2 linked regions of the Drosophila melanogaster genome follow. The protein of the gene in region 2 interacts with the protein of the main gene of each other region in a pairwise test. Each region holds a gene or a part of one and is shown on either strand. Other genes may lie near its edges.

Region 1 (6,141 bases), on a different chromosome or scaffold from region 2:
CATGGCTTTCATATAAATTGAGTGATTCTTTATTGAATTTCCGAAGAATTATGTGAGCGAAAATTGCATCCACATCTTCTGGTAATTGTGCCTTTAATTTTATAATATAAATTGACTCGTTAATCGTGTCAATAAATGTCTTTATTTGCTTATTGGATTCTAAATTTAAATTTGGCATATCCATAAGCCTATTCATATGATCTGAGAATATGTTTCTTTTATTCTCATATCGCTTGGTCAAAAACTCCCAAGTGGCTTCATAATTTTCTCCAGAGCCGAGCAGTAAATGAGTAACCACATTTCTGGCTTCTCCTTTTAATGCTGACTTTAGATAATTAAATTTGAGAGAAGGACTGAGATCCTCTCTCACATGTATGAGCTCTGTAAAGAGTTCATTAAAAAGATCCCATTCTTTGGAATCACCAAAGAAGGTGGGAATCTGTATTTTAGGCAGGGTTGGTAACTCCTCCGCCTTAACAACCGTCGACATTTCAGCTTTATTTATTGTGCCACTGAGTCGACTATTAATGGCTGTAAGAATATTTTGTTTGTCAAATTCAAGTTCGCTAATTTCTTCTTCGAATAGCGAACTCTCAAAATGACTATTCACCTGTTCAATCAGGTTATCTATTTTATGCCATAAAAATTCAATTTTATTTTTCCTTATTTTAAGGAAATCTGGACTACTGTCTATTAGTTTAGACGTATCTTCTAGATATACTCGAAATTGGCCAACATTATTACGAAATGCCTGCTCTACTTTTAAAGCGTTGTTTTGTGCTATACCCTCTTTTTCAGGGTGACCACGCATTTCAAGGTTTAATGTAGGGGGAGGGTTTGATTTAGGGACAGTGTTTGATTTAGGGAAAGTGTTTTCTACCGACTCGCCCTTAATTTTTTCATTTTTATTTTTAATTTTTTCTAACACCATCATTATTAAATCATACTGCTTCGCGTTAAAATATTCATGATCGACAACGCCGATCTTTAACAAATTGCTATGATTAGCAATGAAACATTTTTGAAGCTCATTTAATTTTAGAATTTCTACATCTGTTAATGTTGGTTTTACTTCCAACTTTCTAATTTCCAAAATAATTTCGGACTGCTTCTTAAGGAATTGAATAGTCTTTTCTGACATCATTTTGAAAATTTTTTGTAATTTCTTAATATATATAGTACGTGTATATGTATTTTATATGTATTTATATATATATGTGTGTTTGGATAAACAGAAAATTCTTGTTTTGACTTAGCTGATGTCGTTGTTGTTGCTGCTGCTGTTGCTGCTGTTGTTGCTGCTGTTGCTACTGCTGTTGCTGCTTCTGCTGCTGCTGTTGTTGCTGCTTCTGCTGCTGGTAGAGGCTCCTTTGAATTTGACTTCCTTCTCTTCTTTAAGGCTCCGTCGATGTTTAAAGATGATTTTTTTTTTTTTTTTTTTTTTTTTTTTTTTTTTTTTTGGCACGTTTTATTATTTTTGTAGTCCAGTCAGATTTTTTGTTTTTTAGCCATTTATTTCGGCATTTATGCTCTTTTGGCATATACACTGCACTCTATTTATGAGCTGATTTAATGCTATTAGAGCATTTATAAGGCACTGTTTTCAGGCACTTTTTATTTAATTTATGCTCTTATGGCATATACACTGCACTCTATTTATGAGCTGATTTAATGCTATTAGAGCATTTATAAGGCACTTTTGTTATGCACTTTTTAATTCCACAATTGCTGATGTATGGCCTCAAGCACGCCTTACCACAATTTATAATGGTACACAAAGCAACCTTTAGCTATAGACTATAAGGTGCTTGTTTTAAAACATAAAAGATTCTTTTGTATCTTTTGCTTTTTATATTTATACTCTGTTCCTTACCTTTGGTAGGGGGAAACAAGAGTCACTTATTTTTGCTACCTTTAGCTGTAAGATGCTTAAAGGAGCTGGCCTTTCTCTGAGTTCCTTACCTTTGGTAGGGGGAAACTGCAGAGTCGATTAAAGGCTCGATTGACCAAATGTAAAATCCCAAATAAGAAGACTTTACTCGTTGAGTTTTTGTAAGAAACTGATTTTATTTGGAAATATCTTCGGTTTAAATAGGTGACATGAGAATCGCATCTTAAAGTAAATGGCCTACGCAGAGGCCTAAGTAAATAGTCCCCGCCTTATCGAGGTCCCACGCTCGGGCACATCTGCCTATCTTGAGCGGCGAGGACCTTATCTGTGGTCTCCCACTAAGGGACTATTTTAGGAGGCGGGGAACGATCTCAAGTGACTGACTCATGTAGTGTGCACTTAAATTACATGTTTTTGAGCAATGCACCCATGTCGCCTTAGATAACAAAATCCTAAATATAATTTATCGCTCTCGATTCATTTACATAAGATATGAACGGAGCCCAAAATTGTAAGTCTTTAAATATATTCGTGTTCATGTGTGAACAGCCCTGATCAGCGGATCTCCACTTGATGGGCGATGAGTGGCGCCGGCAAAAAGTACAAATACAGTGAGGCCTGGATTGTGAAGGGCGGCCGATTCAATGGCACAGGCCTCCCGTGCCGTCAATTGGACCACAGAGCTCTTTTCTATCCGCTTGAAATTCGTGGTTTCATGGAAGAATATATTTTGTCCACGACTTGGCTGCTTTTTGGCCTTAAGAACATCGAGCAGGGGTATGACTGGAATTTTCTTAGAAACCTTGTCCAATTTGAACTTGGATTGGTTGGCCACCGACTTGGCTGCCTTTTTGGCTAAGGAATTCTGCACGTGCTTTTTATTCTTAGCCTTGCTATCGATGAGATTTGCTTTCTTCGTCGAATTCGTTAGTTCTGTTTGTGCTTTCGGGTAAGCATGATTGTATGCTATCCATTTGTAGGTTAATACGATGCTGAGAATCAGGAGCAGAGAACCTACAACGATTAAAGTTCGTGACACTTTCATTATGAGATTTTTAGACTGCACTTCAACGTCGTAGCTTACGGTTAACTAACAGCCAAATTCGTTTCACTTCACACACGAAATTGTGATTGTAACAGCAATATGCAAGAAAAAAATATTTTGTATGATATTTTGAAAGCTTATGCTCTATATTTTAAGTAACTTATGCTTGGGTTCCACTTAATTCCTTTTTTTATATATCAGCATAATCAAACACATGCCAATGATAATTACATTATTTTCCTCGAATGAACCACGTATAATAAGGTCAAGCGTGTCGAATTTGAAGATTTGTTTCACTTGGCGATCTTTTTTGCCTATATAAGCGGTCTTGCATTTCCTCATTTCTTTTAAATTGACTTCCAACTGGCCGATATGAAGTTCCTAGCTCTTTTCGTCACTTTGCTGGTTGTTCTGGCTTTGGTTAGCGCCCAAAAGAGCCAGAATACAAATCACAACGTCATCGTCATCGGTGCCAAGAAGCCAGGAGCTGCACCTGCCGCAGCAGCTGCTGCTGCTCCTGCCGCACCTCCTGCCGCAGCTCCTGCCGCAGCTCCAGCTGCTCCTGAAGCAGGACTCGCAGATGCTCCAGCCGAAAGTTAAATATTATGAGTCAGAGGTTATTTTCTTCTAATAAAATGGATCGCTAATCACAATATATGTTTATGAGAGTGTTTAATCTATGTATTACAATATTAAACTACATGGACTGACTTTTGAAACCCCAACCAGACATGGGAGTAGATAGTAACCAGACCACTGCTGTCATAGATCCTTCTGAAACAGGTGTGATTATGAATTGGAATTCAAACAACAAAAAGGTATCTTCGGTTCAGTAAATTTCATTTACGTTTCCCAATATTGTTGGGAAAATAATAATTTTATTTTAACTGACTATTGTTATCACGACAAGTCATTGAGAACTGTGGTAGATAGTAACCAGACAACTGCTTTCTCATATCCTTCTGAAACAGGTGTGATTATGAATTTGAATTCAAGAAGAAACTTTTTTTTTCGGCTTAGTAAATTTCATTGGCGTGCTTTTTAAAAATGCTTGCTAAAGACTAATACTAATTTTATGAAATCAAGAAAGATTTCTATCGCCGTGCCAGGTAAGTTCAGATTATATAAATGTTTGTCAGATTGACAAAAGGAATCAAGTGTTATTTAAATTGTAATCGGTCTATTATGTCTCGGGTTTAAGGAATTAGTTCCACTTCTTTTTCTTTCATCGTGCAATTAATTTCAAATTGTCTGGCATTTAGATTAGTATCGCTTACGCAACCCAGGCCTTATAAGAAGAGCACTCCCCTAGCTTGTCATTACTTCCAATTCCAACTGGCCGACATGAAGATCACCTCTGCACTTGTTCTGCTCTTTGCCGGTGTGGCTTTCGCCCAATCTGCGGATCCGAACACCAACGAAAACAAGAATGTGATCCACATCAATAGTCCCAGCGCCGCAAAGTAAATGAGCTTTTGATAATTGCAGGCACAGAATTCAATAAAACATTTACTTAATTGTTTGCATGTAATAGCAATGGCCTATTTATTTTATTTTAAGTTGAAATATTAAATCTATTTTAGTATACAAGAATATACCATATATATTTTTTCATAAACCTTTTGTTCGAAGCTTTGTTTGGCCAAAACTTATTAATGGTCATGGCTTTTACGACTAGTCACAATCTGACAGTATATCAGATGTTTTTGCCTAATTATATTAAATATAAATTTTAATATATATATTTTATGCTAAAAACGCAAGTGTTTCAAAAAGCGCTGATACCGAAACCAAAGGTGCCAATGCCAAATGTACCAAAACCAAATGTACCAAAACCAAATGTAGCAAAACCAATTTTACCAAATGTAATATTCAAAAGATTTGATTTTCGTACGACCGAAAGAAAAATGATTTAACGATATTAAAATTGGCCACCGTTTAAAAGAATTAAACGATTCGCTTGGCTTATGCAACACTTGGCTTATAAACTATATAAAAACCGGGTCTGTGTTTTATTTCTATTCTCTTCTGATAGACATGAAGTTCCTTGCGGGTTATTTTTTGCTGCTTATTGGCTTCGCTGTGGCCCAAAAAGATGCTGATTCCAATGTGAATCATAATGTAATAAATATTAATTAAACAACATTCTATGTTGTGAGAAAAAGAATAAAAGATTCTATAAAATGTGAACTTATTATGTTTTTTATTTATTTGTTATCGTTTAATTTGTGTACAAGCTAATTATTTTATTCTCAAATTAATGTATATTAAAAAGCATTGATCAAGGATTTAAATATATAGTATATTTGGAATAAACTGGAGATATAAAATATAATTGTCCTGGTATTGGATCGATAATCGGTTGATAAATCCGAAGCAGTAGAGAAATATGTTTTGGTCATATACTAGGTTATATAACCCCTATTGTAATAAACCATTTCGAATATCTATAACATATTTTCCTTTAACCAATTCAATTTGTTATGCCAATTAACGATTTCATCTCATGTTATTTAAAGCAACTACAAAGAATATCAATCGTTAGCATTCACCAAGTTGTAAAGATGCACGGAACGCACTTTTTGATCCTGCTTCTGTTGTGTGGAGTCCTGGGATCTAACGGTGTGACGCCCGACATTAAAAACGTGGCAAAGGCCGAAAGAAATATGCACAACATGTTGCGTTGTTTAAAGAAGAACGAGCCAATAGTTAAGTCCAGGATTTTAACCTTGCCGCCTAACTGTAATCAATATGTTAGCGCGGTCGTCGAGACTTGGAAACCGGAAGGAGTGTAAAAAGCCTCATCATAGAGAATTTTATAATAATAGTAAAGATAATGCCCAATTAAAACCTAGACCAAAAAGTGCGATTAAATGTTTGAAATATGTGCTACAAAATGTATTTAAAATATAAACGTAGTTAGTAAGCAGCTTTACATTACAAACTAGATTGCTATGGCTTCATGTTTTGCCAGTTAGGTGTAGAAAGTTTATATTTTATTTCTCTTTCTTTTTTCATGGCGGCATAGGGAGTTGTCCACATATACGAGTATCTGTATTCAACAAACTTTTTATTGTTGTTTCAAGTGGCATTGTTGTTCCAGTTGCTGCCATAGGTAACTACGTGCTAAGAAATGTATAGCGAGCTGCACAGGCACAATATATATTATACAATATATACTCGCTCTGAAGGCGATAGGGATTCA
Region 2 (6,506 bases):
GTTTTGTTACAAATTTCCTGATTGATCAATATAAAATTCATTATAACATTAAATTTTGTAAGATAACGAAAAAATAATTTTTTTTCCATTTCTAAATGTGTTTGAAGAAGAATTTAGACTACCTGCTCATAAACAGCGGATTCTGACTACGAACCCAACTTTTTTCCCTGTGCACGCGATATCCGCTCATTTTTTGGCCGCCGAATCGGTGAGGTAAGCTCCATTAGTGAGTTTTGTTTAATCGCATCAGCCAGCCGAAAATCCAAATCAACGGCAGCTGCAGCAGCGGCAGCATCCTCCGGGCAGGCCGAAATGTATAATCAAGCAGGTACAGACTGTTAATGGATCTAATACCCCATATCCCGTATTCCCGGACTCCGTGCTCCATTGCAACAAAGACCACCCAATGGCACCCCCTTCTAAGCACAGATTTGGTTCGCTCTAATGAGCTCTGCGTGCAGCTTAAGGGCAACTGTAGCACGGCTGCTTCTATTTGCGGCACTTTGGCAATATGTGGCTAAAATTACTTGCAACTGCCGGCGGCAGGGTGCAGATACATCACCACCAGATGCATTTTAATTGGAATACCGAAACAGCGAGTAATAGCGCACATCGAAAAAAAGAAAGAATAGTAGGGCAAACAAAAAGGCGGCGACTGCCCAATTAGAAGCCTATTAGTGGTAACCACCACCCCAACACCACCCTCTTCCAATCGGAACTGCTCCATTGTTGCTGGCAATTTTACCAGGACGAAACAGAGCGCCCAAAGCGAGACAACAAATTATGCCAAATGGCTAATGAATAAATATCCGCAACCAGCACTCTACTCCCGTCCGCCGGATAGTTGGCATCCTTTGAGATGCACTAAAGAAAATGGAAGAGTGCCTGTAAGCCTTAATGATAAAATAAAGAAATCATTTTGGAAAAATATTCGAAATTCATTGAATATATAGTAACTTAAATAACTTGCAGGAATATATAAAACGCGAATTTAACATATAATACAAAATCATTTGTAATATCATTTAAAATTATTGTATTTTTTTGAAAACATTTGTGGTTTAAAACAATACAGTTGCACTCATGTTTCTTGATTGCAAAAAAGAATCTTTCTACAGACATTTCCATATTTGCAGCTTTTTTTTTTAATATACACAGCTCTATGATATAGGTTACAATGAGGTAAACGATATTAAAATTTAATTTTTTCCCCCTTTCTTTATCCTCTAGTTAAAAAACGTATTTATCATTTTTATTTGCCGCCGCGTTGAAGTTGCACTTATGAGAGAGCTCGGCGAAAAGCGCACACACGGGCAAAAAGCGGCAAATGCAGTTTTGTATATCGCTCGGTGCCTGTGTAATTGTATCTGTGTGTACTTTGTGGCATGCCACATAAACTTGATGCTGCTGCTGTGTGATATTTTAGCATTGAGCAGCTCTCAATCCCCCAGCATCGCATCCCGCAACCCCCTTCGCTCTCGGTGATATTTAAATCCTTGTTCCTACGCAGGGATAGCTGTTACGCCGGCAAGGACTCGACTCAGTTGGCTTTTGTATGCGCATTAATGCAACGACTCTCATGTTTATTCACACACAAATTTGCAGCGAATACAACGCACAGAGACTGCGGTGATAGCGGGATGCATTCACAATCCCACACAGAACCCCGGGACTCGGATACACTCGCACTTGGCTGAAGCAATCTGCTGGCAAATGCGCTTTACATTTTGCACACGCTAATACAATTTAATGGTCGCATTAATTTGGCGCATCTGTTGCATTTTAAAACACGCACACACAGCCACATCATGTACGAACACCCACACAGTTACGTGGATAGACTGGCACACAGATGCACAGATACACAGATACACAGATACACAGATGCACAGATACATATACACGTTCAAGGAGCGGCAGGCAACCGCAGGATACTTTGCTCACTTTGTTGTCGGCGGGGGAGGTTAAAGCATTTGCCAACTGCAAATAAAGTTGCGCTCAGCTAAATATTAATTCTAACCAAGTTAGGGGAAACTACTTTAATGGCGGGGGCGTGGCAGCCGCACAACTGCTTAATCCTTAGCTCTGTGTAGTAGTCGGAATGAAGATTGAGATACATGCGCTCGGCACCAGACAAAAAAGACCTGATATATGCCACCAGCAGGCAATAACCGTTTCACGTCTTCTTGTTTTCGCCAATGAACGCTTAAACTATTGGTGCACCGAACAAAAATACTAATAGAAATAGGATCGCAAGTATGTTGATAAAACAAGTTTCAATATTTTAAACACAGATAAAAAACCTCTTAATATTTATAGTTCAACTCAGTTTTTTTGACAAAAACTTATATTAGTATTTGTATTAGAAACTTGATCGATTCAAAACACGTAGGACGACAGCCAACCCTCTTCATTGGAATGTCAGATGCGTGGGAAGTTTGTTATTGCTGCCAATTAGGTTGCCATTCTGTTTGTGCCAATGTTTGCATATTATTTCTGCCCAATTTGCATTGATGCAATATTGTCCATGTCCCGCGCAGCGCTCCCCCCTCCCCCCCCCACACCTCGTTCCACTACATGGCGGCGTCAAATGCAGAAAATGTCAAAATTTAAATATTGAAAGTGACGTTGGCGTACAAAAACCCCTCGTGTTGCGGGCGTTGCACTAAGCGGATAAGCGCTTGTTAAATTTTTAATGCGTTGCATAATTTTTAGTTCGGTGTGGATATTTTGCACACAATATGTACGTACTATATGTTCGTATATTTTAATTCGAGTGGCGGATGCGAAACGCAGCATGAGTGCTGGCTGCATTTGAAATGAGCCGCATGTGGCGATGGCCGATTAAGCCCGGTTTAGAAGCTACACATTCCTCATTTCGCACTCGACAATGATCCATTTATTTGCACTGTCAGCGATGGTGCGGGAGGGGAAAAAAGGTGAATGGAAATTTATATTAATTATAATTTTCACAGCCATGTCTTCCCATCAATTATCAGAGTTTGTCCGACGGCTCAGTTCTCTTTTCAGCTCTTTTCTGCTCTGTGCATTTAAATTTTTCCCCTGCAAAGTCCTTGATAAACATTTTTCAATTAATTTTTATTTGCTGCCGCCGACATTTCTTTGTCCACACACGCGCATATATTTATGTATCTTGCTGCGTGCACATAAGCAACAGCAACAGCAAGTTGACGGCAGCAACATCATCGCCTTTATGTGTTTCACGTATTTCTTTAACGGATTTCCACTTGTCTCACTTTTTGAGAAAAACTTGTCGAGATGGCACTCGCATTGTCAAGCCCACTCACACACAGACATTCGCAGATACGACGAGTCAGACAGAGAGAAAATCTTACACGCTCGGGAATAAAGGAGAACGGGCAGCAACGGTGCGTAAAAATTCGTCCTGGAGCAGGGAAGCACTTCAGATGCGTTAGCCCAAAATGCGGGGTTTGATAAACGCAAAAAATACTCAAAATAAAAGATATAAAACGTTTAAAAATATAAATTCAAATCTTAAAAAAAGATGGCTTACCTGTTCTGAAGACAATGATTTTATTTTAATTTTGAAATCAAATTACCCTTGAGTAAGATATCTCAGAATCATATTTTATCGCATAGAAACAGTATCGTGTCAGCAGAGAACAAAACTAACAAAAAAATGTTTAGCCGTTTCCTAAAACCAAGCCTAGTTTTATGTAGGAGTGTGAGCAATACCGCATCCCTTCGCTACAAGGATCCCATTTATCAGATTTTCCTGGACAAGGTGCGCGAGTATCGGCTGAAGAGTCCCAAGGGAAAGCCCGTAGATCCTGGTCCGGAATTCGAGGCGGAGCTGAAGGAAGTCACTGAGCGCCTGGCTCTGCAATACGGCGGCGGCGAGGGCGTGGATATGCTCGAGTTTCCGAAATTCAAGTTGCCCGATATTGATATTGATCCCATTTCGGTTGATGATCTGTAAGTTACAGTTAAATTGGAAAAAGTTTTTATAAAAATATAAATATTTACTTAGACCAGAGAACCAACCAAAGCCTGAGAAAAAGAATAGAGATAAAGAAGTAAAGGCCAAAGAAAAGGGTGGGGAAAAAGAAGTGAAAGCCAAAGATGGCAAGAAAGCTGACGAACCAAAGGGCAAGGATGAAAAGGACAAGATAAAGTAGATCATCACTAAAAATAATCGTTTTAAATGTTGTTAAAATTTTCGCACAATTCTTAATACTTTAAAAATTATAAAATGTTTATGTTAAAAGAAAATGAATTTAAATGCCTGCAGATTCGAGCTACCCGTTTGTAGCTGTTCCAGGATAGAGCCGAAAAAAGAACGCACCGAAATTTTTATTAAGCACATACATGCATAAGCAGCACTCACACACACCATGCTTTTACCATGTTAAGTAATTCCTTAAACAACACAACAGGTCGCCGCCATTCGCATGGCCTTGTCCCTCCCCTTGGTCCTTCGTCCTTTGGCGCTCCCGCACGCCCCATCCCACCCACTTCCATTTTTTCCGTGTAACTGACGCTGAGTGGCAGACACACAGATACTCACACAAGCAAATTGAATTTAATGCTTTCTGCTGTTGCTCTTGATAAAACGATGGCAAGCGAGAGGAGGCAGCGTGTAAAGGACGAGCGTGGGAGCGAGAAAAACAAATCAAGAGACGTCGCGAAGGAAATACAAGCCAAACGCACAAATAAATACGCACAAGTACATAAATTTAAATTATTTTCGTGGCCTGGCCTCGCTTTCATTTATGCTTTTTTATTTTATTATGCCGCTCCGCTACAGTCGGCCTCAAGGATCCAAAGATCCAAGGATCCGGCATTTGACTACGGTCCAGACGTCCTGGCACACTTTCTGAATGCCATACGAGTGTCTGGCAGTGCGGTTGTATCTATACCCGTTGTATCTGTGTCTATATCTCTGGTACCGTTGCTGTTAATCTGTATCTGTAGCTCTGTGTCCTGTAACTGTGGCAGCGCATCTTCAGCTGTCTCTTAGCGAACTATGCGCCCGCATCGAGCAAACAACTACACCAACACACCGAAGACGTCCTTGGTCCTTGTGTAAGGCATGTTAACTGGGATTTGACAGCTCGTAAATAATATTTCGCTTGTTTGTTGGCTCGGTACAACGAGAGCAACGTCTTGCACAAGGTTGAAACAAAGACAGTGGTCTGAGTTCCCAACTTTATCTTTTTGCCTAAAACAAGGTAATATTCTTGTATTAAACCTGAGGTTTTATACATTTAAATGGCTTCTAAGTAGTTCAATTAAAATAAAATTAAAATATTTAATAATCTCTAATCACAAAGGAGCAGCGTTTAATAATATCATATTTCCAATCTTTGGTAAATCTAAATTATTACAAGAAAAACTGTTTTATTTAATTATATGCATATATTTTTTATCATAACTTTTTTCTTCTCATATCCGCTCATTCCTTGACATTTTCAACCACTGTGACCTATTCGATGGCAGCCATGTGAAAACGAGAAACGCATTTCATTTTTAAGCTGCTCCTTCTTGGCTCTGCTTGTTAAACAGTCTTTTTACATGACATGTGTGGGCGGTGGTTGGTTGGTTGGTTCATCCGGAGAGTCAGATTCTGATTCGAATGAGATGCGGTGGCTGGATGCTGGCTGGTTGCTGGCTGTCCTGGCATGTCCCGATTTTTCGGGACCAGGCCGCCACTCTCATTATGCGCACTCTCCTCGTTGCCGGCTTATTAAATTTTCATAAAGCACAGGCGCTCGTAAAAATTGTGCTCGGCCGCTTTTAAGCGCAAGTGGATTAAGATTAAAGCTTCAAGGAATATGACTTCAAAGGCGGACGAGCCGTAATTAAAGCCATGAAAACTGTCCGCAATTCGATTGCCGAAAACTGAATTAAACTGCGAACTCGACCGCCCAAGAAATAAGAGAAGTTGGGAAGTTAAGGAGAAACCAGGAGAACTGGAAACCACAGAAGGACTTGGGACTTCACCCACCGGATCCGCTCAACTGGAAGAAGATGATGGCGATGACGAGGCGGTGAGAGATATCTAAGGTCGCTTTCCCGCTTTTCTGAACCACACACAGACACATGTCTGTGGCTCAAAAATATATGTGGATATATATATATATATATCTGGCCGCTGGCTGTGAGAAAAGTGAAGCATCTTGTGCAATGTAAACGAAACGTAGCCGATAAAAATAATACGAGAGGCAATTTCGATTTATTGACAGGTGCTCGACTTTATTGAAACGTTTAACTTGAAAACCGATGCGAAAGGAGGCTCGCTCCATACATATAGATTTATGTATGTAGTAAGTGAGCACATGCAAAATTGTGCAAAACGATAAAAATTATGTGAATTTCGTTGTGATTTATCGCTGTGAGCCGGGGCGGCGCTTGGGTTTTATGTGCCCAGATTTATGGCTTCTTCGCCTCGCCCAGGATGTGCATTCGAATTTTGGACAAATTTAATTACACTTTTACCTTGTGTGTCTTGTGCGGATCAGCCA

What was found. The genes of interacting proteins can lie anywhere in the genome.
Region 1: the proteins of ATPsynCF6L (region 2) and Mst57Da interact in a two-hybrid assay, tested with the Drosophila melanogaster proteins (one large-scale study listed by BioGRID).

What each region holds. Positions count from the first base shown.
Region 1 is NT_033777.3:25,829,044-25,835,184, reverse strand, and holds Mst57Da (Male-specific RNA 57Da), read left to right. Parts: upstream 1-3,285; 5' UTR 3,286-3,308; coding exon 3,309-3,536; 3' UTR 3,537-3,610; downstream 3,611-6,141. Other genes in the region: Mst57Db (Male-specific RNA 57Db), read left to right, coding at 4,281-4,403; Sfp96F (seminal fluid protein 96F), read left to right, coding at 4,974-5,075; Mst57Dc (Male-specific transcript 57Dc), read left to right, coding at 5,501-5,731. UniProt on the Drosophila melanogaster protein: Transferred from male to female during mating and may affect egglaying and behavior after mating.
Region 2 is NT_037436.4:5,009,251-5,015,756, reverse strand, and holds ATPsynCF6L (ATP synthase, coupling factor 6-like), read left to right. Parts: upstream 1-3,623; 5' UTR 3,624-3,661; coding exon 3,662-3,957; intron 3,958-4,012; coding exon 4,013-4,160; 3' UTR 4,161-4,313; downstream 4,314-6,506.